3 linked regions of the Diceros bicornis minor genome follow. The protein of the gene in region 2 interacts with the protein of the main gene of each other region in a biochemical or structural test. Links are inferred from orthologs where the notes say so. Each region holds a gene or a part of one and is shown on either strand. Other genes may lie near its edges. The genes, in order: RAB1A, CHML and RAB5A.

Region 1 (7,832 bases), on a different chromosome or scaffold from region 2:
CTTTTGTGCTGATTCAGAAGGACAGACGGACAATTTCTGGTAGTTCTAGTACTTCCACACGAGGGCAGCTTTAACCCTGACCTTGAACCACATAGCACTGTCTACCTTCCTCCTTCTCTACCCCACTCCAGGCCCCTTGTCCCCTGTTTTCTGCCTTGCTGGGCCTTGGTTCCCATGCTGGCAGGGAAACTGGATATCTCTGGGTCACTTTTAGCTCCTCCCTTCCCTCACGCCTTCAGATTCTATCTCCTCCTCTCTGGAATCTCCTCTCCTTTCCATTCTTTATGCAACTGCCCTAGGTCAGGACACATCATCTTTTGCCTAAATGAATCTAGTTACCTTTTTTTTTTGTGAAGAAGATCAGCCCTGAGCTAACATCCATGCCAATCCTCCTCTTTTTGCTGAGGAAGACTGGCCCTGGGCTAACATCCGCACCCATCTTCCTCCACCTTATATGGGACACCGCCACAGCATGGCCTGACAAGCGGTGCATCGGTGTGCGCCCGGCATCCGAACCAGGGCGGCCAGGAGTGGAGCGCGTGCACTTAACCGCTAAGCCACGGGGCCGGCCCCCTCTAGTTACCTTTTAACTAATTTCTCTACCTCCAGTCTCCACAGAACTCCAAAGTGCTCCTTTTAAACCACTGAGCTGAACACCTCACTCTCCTTCTCAGAACTTTTCTTGACTCTCTGCTGCTACGGAATCAAGTTGAAACTCCTTAGCAGGCATTTGGGGCTCCCCATGATCTCACCTTAACCTAAACATCTCCCAACTCATCTCCCATGGAACCTCTGTTCACTATTCCTTAAACACATGGATATCTTCACACTTCTAGGGTTATGCTCACATTCTTTTGTCATTCTAGGATAAATGGCTCCCTCTCCCCCATTTCTGCCAATGATCAAAATTTTATTCTTTTTCAAGGCCTAATTCAAATACCGTCTCCTTCATGAAAGCACTCTCAACGGTTTGAATTGGAATTATTTCCCTCCTCTGTACTTCTACCTTGTTCATTTTTTTTTTTTTTTTTTTTTTGTGAGGAGATCAGCCCTGAGCTAACATCCGCCAATCCTCCTCTTATTTTTTTGCTGAGGAAGACGGCCCTGGGCTAACATCTGTGCCCATCTTCCTCCACTTTATATGGGACGCCGCCACAGCATGGCTTGCCAAGCAGTGCGTCGGTGCGCGCCCAGGATCCGAACCAGCGAACCCCGGGCCGCCGCAGCGGAGCGCGCGCACTTAACCGCTTGCGCCACCGGGCCGGCCCCTACCTTGTTCATTTTTTAATGTCAGGTTCATAATTGAGGTAAAATTTATATACAGTTAAATTCACTCCTTTTAGGAGTATAGTTCTGAGTTTTCACAAGCATATACAGTTGAGTAACTAACCACCACCACAATGAACATATAGAGTATTTCCATCAAACCAAAAAGTTCCCTTGTGTCTCTTTGTAGACAATTCTCTCCTCCCATTCCTAGTTCTTGGCAATCACTGAATTTATTACTGTCCTTATACACCTCATATCATTTTAATTTATTTTTGCATTTTCCCATATAGGTCTTGTTTGTGGACACATCTTTCTCTCACTGGGTTGTAGTCTCCTTGCAGACAGAAAGTTGTAATTATTCACCTTTGTATTTCTCATGGTTCCAAGAACAAGTTCCAAACACATTTATTATGTGCCAGGTCATAAATATTTGATTTAAAGAAAAGGGAAGATGGGGCCAGACTGGTGGCGTAGTGGTTAAGTCTGCGTGCTCCGCTTCAGCGGCCCGGGGTTCGTGGGTTTGGATCCTTGGCGTGGACACTGCTAGTCAAGCCATGCTGTGGCGGTGTCCCATATACAAAGTAGAGGAAGAGTGGCACAGATGTTAGCTCGGGGACAATCTTCCTCACCACCCCCCCCCAAAAAAAAAGGAAGAAAAGGAAAAGGAAAGAAGGAAGGAAGGAAAGAAGGGAGGGAAGGAGGGAGGGAGGGAGGGAGGAAGGAAGGAAGGAAGAAAGGAAGGAAGGAAGCCAAAGGACAGATGGACAAACAGCCCTAGGAGAGTTTTGATTCAACGATAGGGCAGCCAACAAGGCTCGTGGTAGTTTAATAAATTATTCTGAGTTATTAATCTGAACTATAAAAGTAGCTGCTCTTAAACACCTAAACATAAAAAAATATATTAAAGTTTGAATCAGCAAAACTGACACTTGAAGTTTGGGAAGGAAGTCTTAATATAAATAACATATGAGTTGTAGTCCGGGGTAGAAAACAAACACCCGCCACCCGCAAGCTAGGCTGCCTCTGATCTTCTTGCATATTACAGCACCATAACTAAGACACAAGGCGGAGAAGTTAAGGGAAGGAGAAAGGTAATTAGCCTTTACCAAGTGCCCCAAAAGTCATAGTATTATATGCTTTATAATCTGTTTTATTTAATTCTTACAACCACTCTCTCACTTGAGTTATAAGTTATTAGGAGGTAATTCTTTGTTGGGAAAGGAAATACGTAATTAGAGGAAGTTTAGGGGTATACCTCCAAGGGCAGGGACAGGTTAAAAATTGTAGTTTTGGCTCAGGATGAGTTCTTTGGAGATTTTCTGAGTGTTTCTTCTGTGAAATCACAACAAGCAGGAAAGGACAAAAGTCCAGGGTAATACACACTTTTCGATGTCTATCATCGATCCATTCAAGGTGCTTCACCGTGGTGTGGTGACCCCGCTCATTTCAGAAGCCAACATGATGTGAAGGAACTCTACTGTACTGTTTGATGAAGTTGTCAACCAAGGCACATGGTGGAATTTGGGGGTTAAGGGGTGTAGTTAGTAAATGGGTAGCAATAAGAACTGCCTTCTTTCCATATTTTGGCATCACGGGAATTTAAAGTGATTTTGCAATCACTCTTGGGAGATAATTTTCTTGGTTCTTAGAAAAAGTTGGAAGATAAACTTTGGACAATGTATTATACTATGCCCTTTGTAATTAAATAACCCAAGATAATGTGTTAAAGTTTAGTGGAGATTTAAATTCCTGAGCTGATTAAAGAGAGCTGTTTAGACCATAAGGTTTTAAAAAATGTTATGTTCATATTACTCCTGGAGTTTCTAGGCATTATATAGTGATGAATCACACATTTCTATCGTTTATTACTTTCCAATCTTGCAGAACAGCTCAGTATTAAATATCAACTAAAAATAAGTACAATTCATGGGCCAGCCCCTGGCTTAGCGGTTAAGTGCGTGAGCTCCACTGCTGGCGGCCCTGGTCCGGCCTGGGCACGCATCGACGCACCGCTGCTCCAGCCACGCTGAGGCCGCGTCCCACATACAGCAACTAGAAGGATGTGCAGCTATGACATACAACTATCTACTGGGGCTTTGGAGGAAAAAAATAAATAAAAATTATAAAAATAAGTACAATTCAACTTGAAGGCTGGGACCAGGGCAGGAAGACCTCGAATTTTTGACTGACTCTGGGCTGTGTTCCGTGGACGGAAAGTGGAGCCATTGAAAGTTGTGGGGTCGTGATGACAATGCTGTTTCAGGAAGATCAATCTGCCTGTGTGTGCAAATGGCCGGGGGCAGAGAGGAAAAAGAGGCAGTTAGCCCACTCAAAGGATACTGCAATACTGGGCTGAGGCGATAAGAGCAGGGCTGGAAAGAGAGCGGTAAGAAATCAAAAAAGAAAATGGTACTGCCTGCGGCCAACACTGGCCGACGACCGGACCCAGTGGGGCTGGGTGAGTGAGGAAGAGAACTGAAAGAATGGCTTCATATTATCCAGAGACTCCCAAGAATGGCTTCATATTATCCAGAGACTCCCAAGTTTTCAGCCCAGGCCCCTGACTCCTCTTCCGTCCTTAGAGCGGACGTCCTGGTACCAGCCGCTAAGCTCAAGCCTCAAGCTGGCCAGACCAGCAAAAGGCCCACGGGAGGCAGGACCGGCCAGGAGTGTCCTCCAGCCCCACTTGCTTCCAGACCTCCGCATTCATGCCGTCCCTCCGGCACAGCTCCCTCTGTCCCCAGCCCTCGGAGCCCCCTGATCTCCCCCCACCCCTACTCTCCCTCGGCGGCTGGCACCGCCCTCTGCCCCTCCCTTCCCCCCTCCCCCGTGGGGCGCTGACTCGCCCGGCTGCCACGTCTCACTGATGACATCACCAGGGCCGCTCGGCCTTAGCCAATCCGCTAGGGGGAGTCCGAGCGAAGTCCTAGCCAGCGAGTCAGCGGGGAGGGGAGCTGGGAGGGGCGAAGGGGGTGGTGAGAGAGTGGGGAATGGGGCGGGCGACAACCCCTCAAGTACGCATGCACCAGAGGCGCGGGGCTTGGCGGGAAATGGAGTCCCGGCCGTCGCGCCGCACCGTCTGTCCCAAGAGCCGACAGCCACGCTCACAACTCTCTTTCCCGGCATGCCACGCGGTGCGACCGCCCTCTGGGCTCTGTAAAGACCCCCTCGGTCTAAGGCTTTCCTATTTCCTGGTTCGCCGGCGGCCATTTTGGGTGGAAGCGATAGCTGAGTGGCGGCGGCTGCTGATTGTGTTCTAAGGGGACGGAGTTGGGGAAGACGTTTGCTCTCCCGGAACAGCCTATCTTATTCCTCTCCTTTGGTTACCCGTGGTGCAGAGAGTCAGGGCGGCGGCTGCAGCAGCAAGGGCGGCGGTGGCGGCGGCGGCAGCTGCAGTGACATGTCCAGCATGAATCCCGAATAGTGAGTGCAGGAGAGCACCGGTCGGCTGGGTCGGTGGGCCACCTTGGGAAAGCTTAAAGGGGGCGAGGAGGGCTGGGGCGGGAGTAGGGGCCTCGGCCGGGATGAGGTGAGGGTGATGGGGTAGGAGAGGCTGGCGGCCGGGAGTCAGGCCCCATTGTCTGAGGGAGGAGGTGCGGCCGGGGGAGGGGTCGGGCCGGAGGGGTGAGTCACCTGGGCCTGGACCGGGTCAGTTTGGAGGGCCTGAGTGCGGGCCCGGGGCAGAGGAACAGTCTGCTGCGGGGTTGGGGCTTTTGGGAGTCGGTAGTGAGGTGATGGGAAGAGGCAGCTTCTCTTGGAGGCAGTGACTTTTGAAGGAGGACTTGTTTTTAAGGGGAGGGGAGAGGGTGGGAGAGCACTCCTAGAGGGCACTGTCAGTCTCTGCTCCCGCACTCTGCGGAGCTGTCAGAATCGTCGGGGTGGAAACCAGCTTCACTTGTAAATCCTGAGCTTGTTGGCTCTCTTTCCTTCCATTCTCCCCGCCAGATTGCAGGTAATATGGATGCTTTTCAGGACTGCGGGGGATTGAGGGGAATGAGTAGATGGCGAGAAGCAATTTAAAATGTTTAGTTCTCTTTTTGAATTATTTCCTGGAGTTCTTTGAGAACTCGCCAGGCCCGTTGCCTTCCTAAAAACCTGGGCATTTGTGAGAATTTTTTATAGAGGACACTGAAGTCATTTTGTCTAGTGGAGGTCAAGAGAAAAAAAAATAGAACTAAAACGTAGGAACACTTTTCTGATAGTATCACCAAATTAAAGGAAGACTTTGCTGTGAAGTTGGCAGAGAAACGAATGGACCCCATGATAGATCTGTAGGTTTTGGATTACCTACTTGAATGCTTGCAGATAGGGAATGAGGTTCCATGACGTGTCATGAAAAGTTAATGCATTTCTTTTTCTTGCTTACTCAAGAAGTCACTACAGCAGATGTGATATACCTGGCACCTTTCCTAGGAACTGGGGTTCACTTTCCCTGGGAAGACTTTGTTGAGCTCTCCTTAATGGCCCTTTAAAAAAATCCCCCTACTGTTTGCATATATAAATTAATGAATAATTAGAGGAGATTTAACTGGTATTCTACTACAGTGTCAGAAGGCTTTGGGGGAGAGGGGGAATTTTTTTAAAGCATAAAATCAGTATTTGTCCTGAAAGTTGAGTTTATTTGCTGCTTTGGTCAATTACTGCTAAACATTTCCTCTAAAAGATCCACCCATGAGTTTAGCTGACTGTCATGTGTGTGTCACATGGCTCTTGCAAAATGCACTCTGACTTTGTTTTGTAATACTGTGGTTGGATGCTGAAATGTCCCCTTTTGTACTAAACAGAAGCTATAGTATTTTATTAAAATTTTATATACTTGAAGAAGTTGAGGATAGTATTCTAATAGTGCCATATTTGCTATCTTGGCAGTTTTGTATTTCTTTGTCAAGGGCTCCAAGAACAAAATTGGTTTTGCATAGTTGGGCAGAGTTGAACTTGGGGTCCCTAATTTAGTAGTTTTCCTGGCAACAGTCAAGTACGTGGATGTGCTACTTTATGGAGGTTTGTAAACCTCTTCTGTTCAGGGAGTTTCTTATATTTGCTACATATATTTAGTATTGTACATAGATCTTGAGGATTAATTGAACAGGACTTACGACAAATTATTTAGCCTCTGAATTTGTTTCTCCTTTTGTAAAATAAGGTAGTAGGAGTCGTTATTCCTCTCAGGGTAGTTGTGAGGTTCAAGTGTTTGTAAAAGAATTTAGAAAACTATAAGAGCACTCTAGGTTTTGTATGTCATGTAAGACATTCTAGTAGTGCTAGGATTTAGGAATATAATCCTTACCCTCAAGGAGCTTATAATGGAATATAGAAAGTAGACTGTATATAGATCAAATACCAGTAGATATAGCAAGTTCCACATGTGCAGCATGGATTGGAGCAACAAGATTTCAAAGGAGGGTGGAGGGTTGTGGTTGGCTAGTTGGGTTCAGGAAAACTTTATAGAAAAGATACCTGTAAGAGAATTACTAGCAATGGATTTGGAGAAGCAGAAGGGAGTGAGGAGGATCTTTCAAGGGGGAAGAAGGAAGAAGAATGATTAATAAATGGCAAGGATAGTAATTCTTAAGTAAATACAGTGCCAAACCACCCTTTCGTTTGAGGATTCTAGATTAATGACCTCAACAGAATCAAACCCAGAATCATTTTTATATTTTTTCTGGCATGGAGTATGCCAGTACCTGGGCTACTGTATTTATATTCTAGACTGTGTCTGGTAAAATAATCTAGGAATTTGGGAAAACCTTTGGAAAAGCGTTAGTGAAAATTACTTGAGATGAGAGGAGGTGATGGATATTTTATTTGGGAAGGTCACAGGGGCAACCAGCAGGCAGATTTTTAGCCATCTGACTTCAGCAGTTTCTTCTTTTTGTCTTTAATGAAGCTTGTTACCATAATAAAAGTAATTAGAGAAAAATTGGAAAATAGAGAAAAGAAGGAAAGAAATTCTTAGGTTTTATCACCCAAATATAAGTCCATTTAACACCTTGTTCTAAACTTTAAAATCTTATATTTTTCTTAAATTAAAACTTTTAATGAGTGAGTACCTTTCCATGATTCCATGATGTTGTCTTCGTAGCTAACATTTATAGCCACTTATCATAAGCCAGGTATAATATTATATGTTGTAATACATGTGTATTATAGCATACACATTTATATGCTAATGCAAAAGAATAGTATACTAGCTAATATTTACAAGTGCACCCCAAATGTTCCTTGTTTTGGTTTATTATCTACGAATTTATGTTATTCCTTTTAGAAACTTTAAAAATTGTGGATGCTGCTGAATTTGGTAATGAAAATGGGTTCTTGACAAAAAGTTTGGTTCTCTCAGAAGGAACAGGATTTTAGATTTGAATTAGTTGATGTAAGATTACCTGTTAGTGGCTTTAATACTGAATGCTTTTATTTATTTATTTTTAATTTTTATTTATTTATTTATTTTTTCCCCCAAAGCCCCAGTAGATAGTTGTATGTCATAGTTGCACAGCCTTCTAGTTGCTGTATGTGGGACGCGGCCTCAGCATGGCCGGAGAAGCGGTGCGTCGGTGCGCGCC
Region 2 (7,948 bases):
TCTTTCAGCGTGAGCTACCTGTTGGAAGTTCTTTTCTTTTAGGTGCCAGAGCAGGGCTCTGCAGAAATTTTCTGAAGTGTTAAACCAGAACTAATCTTATCCCCTAGATCTTCTTTGGAATGAGCTTCCCAAGAATGAGCTCTTCAACTACCAACTGAACTCTCCAACTCCGTAATGCAGAAGACTGTGGTGGCGTCACTGCCTCATTGGTTACAAGCATCAAGTAGGCGAATTAAGCTGCAAGATGTACTGTAAACATCAGACCTTCACAAATAAAGGATCATGCAAAGCTAATCTTTTAACAGTTACAAACAAATGTATTTTATCATACTGGCACTTGCATTAGTTGCTATTGCTACCACCTTGTCTGTATGTTTATATTATACATGAAAGATCCACAAAATTTACTGTGTTTCACTATTCAGAGGTGGTAGCAACTGTAATAGCTACAAAGTAATTAAAATATTCCTTAGATATTGTTGTTATTGTAGACAATAAAATCTGAAGATCATTAGCAGATACAATATTACCTTCCTTTAAGCACAGCTCCTAATACGGAACCCTCACATATATACCCAATACTAAAATAAAGCTAACCCTGTTTAAGATGCTGAATCATGGAGCCCATTCTGAAACAAACAGAAGTCCAATAACCAATAAATCAGTTACTGATAGGTTAACAAAGCGTCCAATGACTGAATGTCTCAAAGAGAATTAAAGACAACGTCTGCATAGCATTCATCATATAACCACTTCTAATAATTCATATTCTGATGTCAAAATGAAGGCCCAAAGTAGCCTTTCCAGTTTGCTCTTTTCTAATTTTGAAGGTGCTTTCCTGGGCTTTCTAGGTTTTTGCATTCCTCAGAGGATTCTAGTTTGGCAATTATTATATTTTTGGTTCCAGGAGCCTCTGGTTGCTTGTCATCACCATCAAAGATAATGTCGTCTGGATTTGGAGGTGGGGGGCAGAATTCTTCACTTGGAAAGATCTCCTGGAAAAGTGTCTGAGCTTGCCTGACTGCATGCTCATTTCCCAGTCCACAGTCAGGCCCAGAGCAGACATAAATGTTGGAAGGTAAGCCATTATAGGAGCTTCTGCTGATTCCTGAGGAATCTCTCATGTTAAAATACAGAGCCCACAAGAGTCTTGGCTTTGTAACTTCTTCCTTGTCTATTTCTGTTTCACCATATGGAATGAATAATTTCTTCACCACTGATTCTAAGTCCTCTCTTGCTGTTTTAGAAGATGAACAGGTCAGGTGTACCAGATAAGTGTCTTTCATGCATGTCATGGTTGAAGAACATAACTCAATGACCCGAACAGCACAAGTTCCTGGTTCTGCTGGAGGCACTATCAAAATGGAAATCTGTTGATCTGAATCTGTCTTTAGTATAGACTGATCTGTAATGAGCACTGCCCTGGAGATCTGCTTATAACGCACATTTGAGCACGTGTCCTCTGAAAGGTAACTGTCCTCCACAATAAAATATTTAGCATTTATTCTTTGGCCAAAGTGATCTATGATTGCTTTACATCTTCCAGACTCTTTGTCAACTACAAAGCATTGTACTTTATGGCGAAGACAATAGATTCCACCAAAAACTGCACACATCCTGCAGAAACACTGGGGAATTTCTCCTTGGCCATACAAGGGGAATAAGAAGGGGGTGTTTCCGAATCGTCCAAGACACTGAAGGAAGTTTTTTGTTGCTTTAAGGCCATCTATTGTAGTGCAAGATGACTCTGTCATTGCAATTGAGTGTAGTACAAAATGTTGGAGGCTGGCGGTTAATTTTTTAGTTTTTAAGTACTCTGAAAATGAGCATTGCATGAAAGCTTGGTATTCATCAGGGTGTTGTTCATAGTCTACACAAAATGTAAGAAATTTCATTAGCATCCTCTTTTCAACCATAGTGAGTGCTTTGCTATTAAAGACATCTGCTCTGGAACAAGGCACCTGTTCTACTTTTCCTTCTCGAAATGTAAGAATCCTAGTGACATTTTTAAATTCTGCATAATGACTAACATTTGATTTAATCAAAAGATCAATTAGTAATCCTTGAGAATATAGCAGCTTTGACACCAAATCAATATTAAATCTCCTGCCTTCTTTAACTATTTGAGAGTAAGTAATGCTATTTCTCTTTGGTTGATCAGTGTTGTCTTTCACTACAGGTTTGTTTTCATCTTTATCTCCATCTGAAACTGTGTGTATACAAGTTTTATCTCCACAATTACTTTCTTTCACTAGGGTTTCCTCTACATCAGTGACTTCTAGTGAAATCTTTCCAACATTTTTTGCAGTGTCTTTGGCAGGCATTTCATAGCTTGTAACATGGTGTGTTTCTGCAGCCAAGCATGCCGAATCTGGAGGTTTAGTGAGGGTACTGGACGCTTCCGAGGAAGGAGTTCTCTGTAGAGCATCAGTCTCTTCCATATTGTCATCCACATCCTGACTGGCATAACAAAACACTTCCGTGTGTTGAATGATTTCATCCTTCCTGCAAAGAGTGATGGCTGCTTCTGTTTCACGGATCAGGTCCTGCCACACAGCAGCACTTTCTTCCCCAAAGTCACTGTTTTGCTGACACTCCTTCAACCAGGAGAGCAACCCTGAAAAGCTGAAACTAGCCCAGTTTCCTCCATAATAACTTCTCGAATCAAGATGCAGAACCCTCTGACCACTTCTTGAACATGCGGCTGCAAGGATGGATTCAGGCAAACCCGTCCCTATTATGACCACATCAAACTCTGTCGGGAGACTGTCCGCCATCCTGGGAGGTACAGCGTCTGGTGACAGCTGCCGATGAAGGATATGTGTATGAGTCTCGGCTGAGGGCTCAGATGAGGTGTGAACAGGCTGTACTGAAAGCTCTCCTTGTGATTTTCCAGTTCATCCCAGAAGCATCGAGGTTGCAGGTCCTAGCTGTTTAACTGTTACCCTTTGTTAATATTTTTTTCTTATAGGTCAGTAGCATAAAAACACGATAAAGTACATCTAATCACATCTGAGAACACTAAAACGGATGTGTGGTTTTCATTTCTGCATTTCATCTTAGCAGTAAATGTCAAAATGCAATACATATGCATTTGTGACTGGAACTCTTCTCTGAAAGAAGAAAATTCAAGAAAGGATACAATTGTAAACGATATTAGGAGAAAAGTAATTTCATGCAACAGCAATCACAATCCACTGAAGCCTGGCTTGTTAGCAGGACACAAGCGTCTACCAAAGCAAGTCATTCAGTGCTTTCTCACCTATTTCCTAATTTCTTGAAAATGAACAATAGAGATACACCCCTCCAAATCAGCCAATTCAATAATGAAGAATGGACATAACAATGTCCCACAAAAATAAAGAAGAATGAACACAATGCAATTCTATAACTTTTGTTTTTAAGAAAACCAACATTTGAATAAAACTATACAGAGCTGTGAGCTTATCCTATATGTGTGGCTCCACAGTGTTTATGGAAACAGACTACATACTATGTGCACATTGTCATGATTAGGAATATTTCTGTGGCCACTACAGTCTGTGGGTGATTCCAGGACAGCTGATTTTTCCATGCCCCACCTACCCTTAGGATCTCGTGGTAGCAACCTGAGACCATTTCAACCGAATTTATTAGTCAGATCATTACAAAAGGATTAATTCTGTAAAACAACTGGCATTTTAAAATATTTAAGTGCATGAAAGAATAGGTCTACTGAAGGGAAAATAAATGTATTTATAACAAATCTTTACGTGAATGTTCATATGCACATGTATGTTTTTTAGGTGTAAGTTAAAAAGGAAAATTCCTGGGTTCATACGTTAAAATATCTTAATATAAATAATACCTACTTCTAACATTTGAATCACGTGGCTTGCATTTTGTCAGACTCTGGCTCTATGTCCCTGAATCTCTGTCTCCCAAGATAAAAGTCTGTCTAAACATCGTCTGCCAAGATTAACGTGTTGTTTGTCGTTCCTGTTTATGAAGGGGTAGGAGGTGGTAGTGAAGAAAGTCTCTCCTGTTAACTTCAAGCCTAACACTGGTTATATTCCATGTGCAGAACATTGGCGTGGTGCTAGGTGCAGCCAGAGAGGGAAGGGCCCAGGGGGTGAAAGGCATACTCACCTGGAAGTCTTTAGGTTAACGCACTCCGCACACCACATGCTGGGGGGCCTTCCTATCACTCATCACTGCCCAGGAAGGGCGAGAGCTCTCTGAGCTCTGATTTTCCCTACCATTAAACTTACTGAAATCTAGATCAGTATAAATCAGGCCCACCTAGGCTAAGATGACTAATCATCTCGGACATTTGTAAAACAAGCCATTCAATTGACTAGTTCACTGAACTGACTGGTCAGTTTAAGTGAAATGACAATCTTAACAGTCCTGTGTAGTCAGAGCCTCTGCCTCAAGAATATGAGGAATTCTACTTGTTTTCAGCATTCCCTGAGAAATCAAGAATGGAGCACAGAATGAAGGGGTTGCCTAGCCTACTGATACATGTATGTCAGTATGTTTGAATTGCTTATTCTGCCTCCTTACAGTAGGGATGCAGAAGACGGAACCCATGCGGGTACATGAAGAAGCGTAACCATAGTATGTGCTTATTCTTGGCTTAGAAGGGAATAGAGATGAGGGTGGGAGTAAGAGGAAAGGATACAAGCCATAAGTGCTAAAACCAGGCACCTTCTAACCTACAGATATCAGAGTCCTCAAAATACATAGCAGGTAGGACAAGATAACTTGAAAGAACATTTAGCTCAACTACCCCATAATAGAGATAAGAAAACTGACGGCTGGAGAGATTAAGTGACTGAGAAAGTCTACACAATGGGTTAGCCACAGGATCAAGACTGGGATCCACCCTTGTGCCATCAGGCCAGTGGTCTTTCCATTTGATGGGGCAGCCTATCCAGAAGCCTCTGGAGCAAGCAGCCACTTTTGACATCTGTTTATTTCTTCCCCTTCAATACTCCATGGTTGGTTAGTTCTTGCTCCGGGATAACAAAGGGGAAAGCACCCTCCCTTTCTTCATCTCCAATTCTCACCTAGAAGCACAATCCTTGGAGTTTACTCCAAGCAAAGAAATTCTTAACCTTTGCTAAGAATGTTTAAGCTCCATCATAACCCCCAATTGACTTGCCCCCAGGGCTTAAACAAGTCTCCTAATGGCTTACCCCAGAGCTTCCACCCCTAATTTCAAAGCAGGGATAAAGTCATGGTTGACAGCACTAACTAAACGCCCAGAGAAGTAGAGCAGTCATCAGGCAAAATACCCTGCGGTGAACGTTTCTAGCACTCTTAGAAAATCCCTCTGATGGGGACAGGATCCGAGCTGGGATGATGAAGGAGAGAAAAAGGATGGAAGAGACAGGAGACACAGCAGGGTGGGGTCGCAAAGGGAAGAGATGAGGAAGAAGGTGAATGCTGGCACTACTAAAGAACTCAATATACCCTTGTTTTCAAACTCCCAGGCACAGGGTTGGGACAGAAATAGAATTACCCAGCACAGAAAAAGCACTTCTTGGAAATAAGAACTTTCATGTCTGTGAACAAAACCTAAGGCCCATGTTAGGAAGCATTACTGATGACACTTTAGGCTTAAGCTTGCATCACCCTCTTTAAAGCTTAGCCCTGCCTAAAAAATGGCCTGATAGGTATTTTAAATTAATATAAAGAGTGTAATCACAGGGCCATCTTACATTACCACCACATACACATACAGCCTCCTCCCCAGTTTCAAATCTTTGTACAAATGAAATTCTCAAATTAATGCTTATTGGAGAGGGGGAGGTAATACTAGAATGTTAGAATCATTGAGGCAATCCAATAAATAAAATCACGATTGCTAAGACATTGTTTTGTTTCCTTCAAAATATCAAAAAATGAACCATAATGAATATAATATTTCAGTTTGTCACAACATAGGAGGTTGGTAAGAACATTTTTGATAATGCTACAAAGATTTTGTTCTCAGAAGCCTGCCAAGATAAAACCAGTAATAAATTATCAACGGATTTCACAATTTTTTTAAAAAACGAATTTTAAAACCTGAGAAATACACATTTCCATTTCAAATATTTGTATAAATGAAATTTCTGGAGCACACACAAAAAGATAATTTCTTCTGCAAGCTGAGAAAACCACATCTGCAATGATTCACTGGGTGGATGGATCATCCTTCAAAATGTCAAGTTTCTGTGAGACTTAAATTTCCCATAAGGATTAGCAGTATTGTTTCAATAACTCTTAAATTAACAATCAAGTTCTAATTTAGTGAAATCTACTGGCTGCACAACTAATTATTTGTTCATCTGAGTTGTTATTCTCTGAGCCATTTGTAATCTCACCTTCGATTTTTGTGTGCTGGAACCCACAAGGTGGAAAATGTAGTAAAAATAGCTTATAGGGCACATGCCAATTTGCATTCTGAGAACGTGAATGAAAAGATCTCACTTCCTAGGAAGCATTCAAAGGTTTACAACCGCTAATGAACAACGTTTAAAAAAAAAATTACACATTGCTACTCTGTTAGGTTTCTACTTCTCGTTTTTAGGAAAGCAACAGTGTATGAATTAAATCTCTTCTCATCACCCTCTCCACCTTTCTCGAGTTAATCACTTTGTCTTGAATCTCTTGACTCTAGAGTCCCTCGTTTCTTTCCTCCAAGTGTACAAGCCGTTGTTTCGTGCCCTGTTGGATCATATGAGGAGGTGAACACAGAGAAATGGATGAGCGGGACAGAGTCACGGAGGACCTGGAGCTACAACGGGAGCTGGGGCTGCAGGCTGGGCGGGTTCAGGGTCGGCGTGGGGGGGGGGGGGATGAGCGGCCCCAGGGATGGAGACGAGGGAGCGCGGGGCGGGAAGAGCTGCAGGAGGAGGAAGCAGCGGAGGGAGGCGAGGCTGGTGCAGGGGAGCTGGAGCGGGGAGGAGCGGAGGGCGGCCGGGTGGCAGAGGACGCAGAGACGGGGGCGATGCAGCGAGTGGAAGTTTGCAGAGGACAGCAGGACGCTCTCTCCCCCCAGCCCAACTCACCGAAGAGGCTGCTGCTAAACCCGTCCCACGCGCAGCCCACGGCGTCCCAGACCCAGCCGTTCCTCAGGCAGGACACGAAGGGAAAGGCGACCCCGAAGAGGGACAGCAGCAGGTCGCTGAGGCTGATGTTGACCAGCAGGAGGTGGGTGGGCGTGCGGAGCCGCGGGAACTTGGCGTAGAGGACGAGCACCAGCAGGTTGTTGCCGACGCCCAGCAGCCCGAGGGCGCCGAGCAGCAGCGCCAGGCGCTCGTAGGCGCCCGGGCTGAAGAGCGGCGCGGGGCTCAGCGTCCCCGCCGGGCCCGGCCCCTCGGCGCCCGCCGCCGCGCCGCCGTCCCAGGAGCCCTGGCCGCCGCTCCGGTTCCCCGCGTACATGGCCCGGCGCCGGCGCGCTCGGCGGGCGCCGCGCTCAGCCTCCCGCGCGGCCCGCGGCGGGCTCCGCACTGGGTGGGGCGCGGGCGCCGCCAACGGCGCGGGCCACGGTGCGCGCGGACCGCCTCGCCCCGCCCCTGCCGCGCCGGCGCCGCCTCGCTGCCCCGCCCCCCGCGCCGCCTCGCAGCCCCGCCCCGGCCGAGCCCCCGCCGCGCCCCCGCCCCCGGCGCCGCCTCGCTGCCCCGCCGCTCCTCGGCCCACCACCCCCCCCCGTAGCCTCTCGCTACTCCGCCCCCGGCGCCGCCTCGCAGCCCCGCCCCGGCCGAGCCCCCGCCGCGCCCCCGCCCCCCGGCGCCGCCTCGCTGCCCCGCCCCGGCCGAGCCCCCGCCGCGCCCCCGCCCCCCGGCGCCGCCTCGCTGCCCCGCCGCTCCTCCGACCCCCGGTGCCCCCTCGCTACCCCGCTCCCGGCACCGCCTCGCAGCCCCGCCCGGCCGAGCCCCCGCCCCCCGGCGCGCCCTCACTGCCCCGCCCCCCCCGC
Region 3 (8,029 bases), on a different chromosome or scaffold from region 2:
GAGTTGAGTTTCAAAGCCAGGAGACCCGAGAGGTGACTCAAGAGTTCAGGTTCTGGAGCCAGACTACATGGGTTAAAGCAGTTTTGAGGAAAATTATGTTAATAAGTAGAACAGATCCTAGAACAGAGTAAGAACTCAATAAATGTTGGCCATTATAATCTGAAGGCCTCCGTTAAATGGTACACGTTCAGGTCGCCCCGTGGCTTAGCGGTTAAGTGCGTGCGCTCCGCTACTGGCGGCCCGGGTCCGGATCCTAGGCGCGCACCGACGCACCGCTTCTCTGGCCATGCTGAGGCCGCGTCCCACATACAGCAACTAGAAGGATGTGCAGCTATAACGTACGACTATCTAGTGGGGCTTTGGGGAAAAAAAAGCAGGAGGACTGGCAATAGATGTTAGCTCAGAGCCAGTATTCCTCAGCAAAAAGAGGAGGATTAGCATGGATGTTAGCTCAGGGCTGATCTTCCTAAAAAAACATATATAAATAAAATAAATGGTACATGTTCTTTGTTTAATTAATGGTAATTTTGGAGCAACAAATATTTAAAGGCTCCCAAGTTTGTGTCTAGTGGCTATAAGACAGAATTGTTTCCTCATGTGCTCAAGTACATCATACAGGCAAATGATAACCATGGTTCTCTTATGTGGTGAGCTTATTAGTGTCTTATTTACTTATACTTTTCTGTAGTTTTGGGGCTATGTCATTATTTTGTATTTAACACATTTAGAAGAAACTAGCCGGAATGGCAACTTGTGTGTCTTCTCTTATCATTATCTAATAACGCTAATTTTCAATCTCAAAGAAATTAGTAAACATTTAAAGAACTCTTTTCCAATCCATTCACAAACCAATCATAATAGTTTTCTCCTATCTTTAATCAAAATCTGATCATGGGCTTACTAATAATATTAAATCTGATGATTCTCTCCCTAAAATCACTGTTATGTTTCATTTAGGAACCTGATATAAGCAAATTTGCCTTCCCCACGAAATGAGTTTATACAAGAATTCCTCTTGACCATGAATTCATTAATAAACCTATCCATGAGGCCTTACATTCTCGAGACAATAAAATCACCTCTGCCTCATCTAAACAGCAGCTTTGAAGAGTCCTTATCTTTTAGTAATACATACCAAAATACTTAACAGGTGAAATGATATGTCTGAGTTGCTTCCAAACAATGGGAATGTAAATAAAACAAGACTGGCCATAAGATAATTGAAGTCAGGTGACAGGTTCATTGCACTATCCTCCCTACCTCTGAATATTTAAAAAATTTTCCATAATGAAAAAACGCTACAACCCCCATATCTATCCTCCCATCCCCTTCAAAACACACCAGATTTGGGGATACAATCCTGGCTGGCTATACCAATTTCTGCTGGAACAAGTGCTTTCATTTCCAAATCTCTACTTCCAGAATACCTAACTTACATAGCTGCTGTGAGAATTAAATGAGAGAATATATGTAAAAACTCTCCAATACAGTGGTCAACACATAGTAGGGATTGAAAATTGGCAATTAAAGTGGACCGTTGATGAGATAATGAGCAAATATCAACAGAATGTCACGTAGATGAAAATGCACCAACACACCTTTAGATTACATAGAACAGCAATTGAAACACTTCCCAATTGTCTGATTACCTACAAACAGTAAACTAAATTACTCATCAAGGACAATATACTCCGAATTTCCATGGTACTTCCAAAATTTCAGGGAAAACATCAGATTCCCATTAAAAAAAATTACGAATTAGCTTTGCCTTTTAAGGTTTAAAGCTATTGGATTATGGTTCCTCCTAAGGCTCTCAAACAGAAAATAAATTTAACTATACATATATAGTTAGCATAACATTACAGTTAAAAAACGCACATTTGTATTCACTATTGAAACTTCTCTATTTTGCAAAACAAGATTTTCCATAAAACGCATTTTTAATCTTTTGAAAATAACTGGTATTCTATAGTTAAAGTCCTTCTGGGTGCTCTTTGATTAAAATTGCTTTAATAGCAGCAAACATTTACTAGATACTTCTGTGCCAAGCACTATTCTATGAATTTTGCTTACAACAACCCTATGAGCTTATATGATTATCCCCATTTTACATTATGAATAAAGTTTGTGAGCTGTCCTGAATTATCAATGGTGTATACGTGTTTTTTTCCTACTAGTTATGCGAAAACCAACTGATTCAACACTGTGACTCCACTTAAGCAAAAGACAAAAACCAAATATGTGAATTACGACGTTCAGAGCTTAAAAAGTCTCAGGGGGGTAAGCAGCTTCCAGGAAAGAGAACAGCAGAGCAGGTTTAATGGTCTCTACCCACTGAGGGTGTTCAGCGGCCTAGCTGTCTTGAGTTCTTCAAAGCTGCGGTTCACCACCTTCCATAGATGAGACAAGAGTCTCTAGACAGCCTATTTTGACGAGCCTCCTCCTCCTCCCTCCATTAGCCATCTCTGGAAGTCGAAGGCAGGCGGAGCTCCCCAAATTCACACCTGCCGTAGGCCCCGGTGCCTCCTTGGAGATCACCTGAGCAACTGACACCAAACTCCGGATCGCCTGAACGAGCAGGATCCGCCAGGCCCCCTGGCCATCATTCCCATTCTCCTCCCCTGAACCTGGCCTGGCTCTGGCTGGGACCCCCCAGGGCTGCCAGGGCAGGAGCCAGGCGGGACCGCGGCCTCCAATACTCTTTCACGGCGCCATCTTGAGAAGGGAAGAGGGTGACACCCGTCGCTCCCGCAGCCAGTCCCCAAATCCTGGTCTCCAGAGCCCCTTGAAGGATGAGTCACCAGGCCGGCAGGACGAGACGCCGGGTTCGACAGCACTCCGGTCCAGGACACCCGCGCGCGCGAGGGAGAAGGGGCGGGGGGCTCGGGGCCGGCAGGGCCGCGGACAGACTGGGGACCGCGAAGAACCCGGGGTCCCGGCCCGCTGTGGGCAGGGCGAGGGACGGTCTGGTTACCTGAGGCCGCAGCACGCGGAGCCGCGGGGCTGAAGCTTCCCGGCAGCAGGTCACAGGCGTGTCCCGAGAGGAGGCCGAGGCTGTGGCTTTGGCGGCGGCGCGTCTCCTCGCGCTGCTCCCCTTAGACTGGACGGTGCGGTGCTCGTGCCGTGGTGCCGCCCCCGTCGGGCTCCGTCTCCGCCTCTCTCCGCTCCGCCTTCCTCTTTCCTTTCTCCTCCGCCGCCGTCGCCACCGCCACCGCCGCCGCCGGCGCTCGAGTTCCGACTAACTCTTCCTCCTCCTCCCTCCTCTGCCTCCTCCCCACAGGCCGGCCGCCGGGTCCTTCGCAAACCAAAACACAAACACTCAAGTCCCAGCGCGGGAGCCACTTCCGCCGCCCGGCGCCGACCTCGCCGCCACGTCGCTGCACGTAGCGAACTACGCCCCTTCGTCACTTCCGGTCGTCACCTGTCCGACCGCTCCAACCGTTGCCCCGCCCCTCTCAAAGCCCTCCCAGCGGGGGCCAGTTCGCGGGGCGGGGCTTGTCACGTGACTCCCGGGCAGTGGGCTCGGATCCCGCCGCCTCCCTCCTCCCTCCCTCACCCGAGGCGCGCGCGGCCCCGCCCCCGCCGGCGCCATTGTTATCTGGACGGCGGTCTTGGCCTCCTGGCGGGAGGGGCGGGGGGGAAACTCCATTACCGCCTAGCTTTCGGGGAAGCCCCAGAGATCTTGGGTTTGTTGCTTCCAGCGTACGTGGGGCGGCGAAGTTCCCTCTGTGTATATGAGCTCACAGTTCCCCGTACCCTACCCCGCGACATCCCAACCCTGGTAACTCGCCTAAGGGGCTTTTTTGAGGGGACTTTTCTACCACGAGAGAGCCCCCCAGCGTGTCCCTGTGGATGGTTGGGTCGGTCAGGGCCGGTAAGTGGTGTTTACTGCGGGGAGGAGGATGAGACCCTCCCCATCCCAAAAGTTGTCTTTAGGCGGGGAAGTCTTAAAGTAATAACATGCTTTTATTGCGAGTTTACTTGTTTTTGGTGGGGAGGGGCAAATCCTAGAATAATAGCTAACTTCATTCAGAGTTTCCCTTCACGGGTCCTGCACTTTACAGGAATTATCCCATTTTATTCTTACACCATGAAGCTTTCACTCTGAAACTAACTTCATCGTCTGCCTCCCTGCATTAGAATGTTAACTCCCCAAAGTGGTCCTCACCGCTGTCTGATTAGCACAGTGCCTGGCAGCCAGGAGTCTTAAGTCATGGTTGTGGAATTAGTCAATGAGGCGTGCCTGTTTTACAGGTAAAGAATTTGAGGCACAGAGATTGAGTAATTTGTGCAAAATCATCGCGGAGTTGGTGATGAAATTGCATTCTAACCTGCAGGCTGGCTCCAGAACCTGAGTGCTTAAGCACGACTGCAGTGAAAAACAAGCCATTAATTATCCTCCACTGGAGACCTATATAAGACAGGCTTCTTTGGTTAAATCTCACACGATAGACAGTCTCTGACCAGGCATCTGAAACAAAACAAAACAAAACAAAAATTCGTTTTGTAACTTGGTAGAATGTTAAATTGATTTTCCCTCAGGATAAGGGCTACTTTTCAATGTGCAGTTTACCGTTTATAGCCCTGTTGTGAGGACATCGATATGGATTGTCTACTATGTGTACTTGGGGTAAGGTATCTTGTTGGTGCTCAGTCAACATTATGTAATGAAGATGATTTAAACCCTTGAATAGCCAGTCTTTCAGATCAACTCCCTAGTTACTAACCAGAAGAGCATAATGTGTCATACATAAGTGGTATCTGTAGCACTTTATCCCCAGGGGTTGTTCCAATATGATGTGTTAGTCATGGTAATACCTCTGGGACAATCCTAGGAAGAATCAGGAAATAGGATATGTCACATCAGTTTTGGCATGTCAACAGTATGTCCAAAACCAAACCTATTCCACCCCAAACCTGCTTCTGCTTGGTGACTGGTATTAATAGCCTCCCAGTCACATGGGCTTGAAAGAGCAGAATCATCTTCAACTCGTCCTTTTTTCCCTCTTAAACCGTTGTCCATTCTATCACCCAAAATTCTCTAATCCCTAAATCTGAGATGTAATCCCAAAGCCTGGGCCCTGATAGTATTCATATAAACTGGAATTAATACATGCTCCTGCCTCTTCTATCCGTTCTTTATGCTGTAGCCAGTCACTCTCCTACTCAAAAATGTTCAATGCTATCTCATTACTTGCTAAATACAGTCCAAAGTTCTTCAACTCTAGTCCCAACCCACATTTCTTTCATTCTGTTTCTGTAGCCTCCCTCTATCCCAAACTCCTGCTTTGTGCCCTAATCATACCAGTCTACTCTGTGTTCCCAGAATGTTGCTTGTGTGTTCTCATCTTGGTGTCTTTGATCGCTTTGTTTTCTCCACTTGGAACACCATTACTGCCTGTCACTGCAGGTCTCACCTTAGCCAGGATGCCAACTCCTCTGGACCACATCTGATGATACTTCCACTGGATTTAGTTATCTTTTTCCTATAGTTTCATGATACTTTGCCTTACTGTCTATAATGGTTCTAATATCTGCCTTATTTTACAGTTAGAGAGTGCCTAGACTTTTCTCCTTAGACTTTCATTCCCATTAGGATTTTAAAGTTCTTGAGGGCTTGGACCATAATTTAATCGTCAATTCCTCCAGAGGACCTTTGATTCATATAATAGGGACCCCAAAAATATTGGTGAACTTAATTACATTTAGAATGGTGAACGTATGACTTAAGAAGACCTAACAAATAACACATGGATGCTGAAATTTGTAAATTGCTGGAAACTTCCCATTTCATTGTTCTAGGATATTGCTTCCTCATTCATTTCTTTCTACCAATTTTATCTTTTAATTCACCTCCTTCATGAATACATTCCACTATATTTTATTGTTTAGTCATAGTGTTTGCTTGGGAGGGTGCTGCTCCAGTGGCTAGCACCTCTAGAATCCTGTGGTAATTTTGGAGAGATTGAAATGCCACAGTAAGCTTTGCTCTTGTATTGCCACTCACAATATGCCTGTGTTTTTTCCTAACTCCAGATGACTGAGGACTGATAATTGTATATATTTTAGTGGGAAATGTGGGATCCTACTTGTTGATAGACTAACTATAAAATGGATGGGCCCTAAATAAAGTCATAAAGACTTGAACACTGTTCTTAGTGCTTCCTTTGCCCTCAAATCTCTAAACACCCACTCACAAATTCCCAGCAGTTTGCATCTCTCAATCATCCACTGCACCCCCTATCTTCTACTTTCCCTTCCAGGAAATCTTTCCTCCATTGTGTAGTTGAAGAATGAGTCTTTGCCTCGGTGGTAAGGAATGGTAACATTTTGACTGGAGACAAACCAAAAGGTAATTCTAACATAAAGAATCGTAGGCATGATGACAAGACGCTGAGAAAAATGCTGTGGAAACTTGAGCTAGTCATGTTTAAAAAGCATGTCTCTGCAGGGCATCATGCAAGCTCAAATGTCACCTACCTAAGGGACTTCTAAGCCCCCCAATTCTAAAGTAGCTTCCCTTTACATCAAAGCATTGTTTTCTTCATAACACTTATCACTATGTGAAATGATCTTATTTATTGGTTTACTTGATGGTTACTTATACCCACTAGAATATAAATTCCATGAGATAAGGATTGGCTTATATTCCACTGTATTCCGAGCACTGACACAAGGTAGGGACTCAATAGCTATTTGTAAAATGAAAGAATTGAATGAACTCTTATACAAACATACCTTGATTTATACACTATCAAGTCATTTAAAGTGATTAGGGTGAGAAGAATATTTATATTAACTATCTAGAAAATTACACGGTTTTTACAAATGTGAAATAGTATCCTTATCACTTTTAAAATTTTTGGATTTTAAGTTTTTCATAGAGTTCTTAAAAAAATTGGATTCCCATAAATTCCATTCAAATTCTAAACTAGGTGTTCTATGTCTCCTGTATGTATAGAACATGACAAATATTCACCAAACACGCTCTCATTAAAACCTGACAGAGGTGTAACCCCAATTTAAAGAAAATCTCATACTTAAAAACATTAAGTTTGAATTTGCCACAATATTTTAAAAATTCAGTATGCATTATTGTGTAACACATCTCAAACTTTAATATATTTACTTTAAATGATATTTAAAGGCTAGTTATTAAAGTATGTGTTCTCACAGATTTGAACATGTTTCTATACCACAGCTGCCAAATATAACTTTACAGAATTTAAAGTAGTTTTTTAGGGCTTTTAAACTACATGCAGTGTACATGTACTTGCACAAGGAAGGACCTAAAATTAGTGGCCACCACCAGAAAAAGGGTTATTTATTCCCTGATCACCGGTAAAATGAATCGGCCACCGGCCAGGAGGAAGCCCATGGATGAACCCATCCTAAGAGGATTGCATTGCTTGGGAAACTAGAGAGAAGTTGGTGAGCATTTGCTCTAGTGCCGAAGACCACATCCTTCAAGTTTTCTTGATCTCCAAATCTGGTAAAGAAGGGGGGAAAAGTGACAGAATGAGAGAGAGGGAGAGAGAGAAAGAGGGAGACAGAGAGGAAAGGGAGAAGAGGAGAGAGAGAAACGGACGGAAGAGAAAGAGGAAGAGATGGGCGGGGATCTGCTCGGGAGAGAGAATTGCACGCCAAGCGACGCCCCTGTTTCCCAGGTAACCGGGTAAACAGACCTCCAGCTCCGTTTTCCCTGTGAGCTTCGCTAGGTGTTAAGTAGCGGGCAGGGAGTTCGAGTGGAGATGTGCTCTTTCGTGAGAGTTGGGCCCCCTCAAGGAATTGGGAACTTCCCTCGAGCCAGGTACAGCTTTCCCCTTAGAGATGAGTGCCCTTGAAGGAATGAGAGTGTCTGAAAGGAAATCTCCCCTGAGCATGAAGGTCGGCCTCACCCACGAAGGAAAAGATGACTTAAGAGAGAGGAGGGTCTTTATGGAAACAAAATCTCCCACGGAGTTGGGGTTCAGAGTGGCATTAGGAAAAGAACATTCCCCATGGAGCGAGAGCCCCTTGGTTAGTAATA

What was found.
Region 1: the proteins of CHML (region 2) and RAB1A form a complex in vitro, tested with the Homo sapiens proteins (2 studies listed by BioGRID). The link is inferred for Diceros bicornis minor from reciprocal best matches to the Homo sapiens genes CHML and RAB1A.
Region 3: the proteins of CHML (region 2) and RAB5A form a complex in vitro, tested with the Homo sapiens proteins (2 studies listed by BioGRID). The link is inferred for Diceros bicornis minor from reciprocal best matches to the Homo sapiens genes CHML and RAB5A.

Annotation. Positions count from the first base shown.
Region 1 is NC_080751.1:22,659,019-22,666,850, forward strand, and holds the start of RAB1A (ras-related protein Rab-1A), read left to right. Parts: upstream 1-4,464; 5' UTR 4,465-4,669; coding exon 4,670-4,692; intron 4,693-7,832. UniProt on the Homo sapiens protein: The small GTPases Rab are key regulators of intracellular membrane trafficking, from the formation of transport vesicles to their fusion with membranes.
Region 2 is NC_080777.1:3,502,439-3,510,386, reverse strand, and holds the start of CHML (rab proteins geranylgeranyltransferase component A 2), read right to left. Parts: upstream 3,073-7,948; 5' UTR 2,778-3,072; coding exon 819-2,777; 3' UTR 1-818. Other genes in the region: OPN3 (opsin-3), read right to left, coding at 7,041-7,413. UniProt on the Homo sapiens protein: Substrate-binding subunit (component A) of the Rab geranylgeranyltransferase (GGTase) complex. Binds unprenylated Rab proteins and presents the substrate peptide to the catalytic component B.
Region 3 is NC_080741.1:25,753,847-25,761,875, reverse strand, and holds the start of RAB5A (ras-related protein Rab-5A), read right to left. Parts: upstream 3,061-8,029; 5' UTR 2,975-3,060; intron 1-2,974. Other genes in the region: EFHB (EF-hand domain-containing family member B), read left to right, coding at 7,831-8,029. UniProt on the Homo sapiens protein: The small GTPases Rab are key regulators of intracellular membrane trafficking, from the formation of transport vesicles to their fusion with membranes.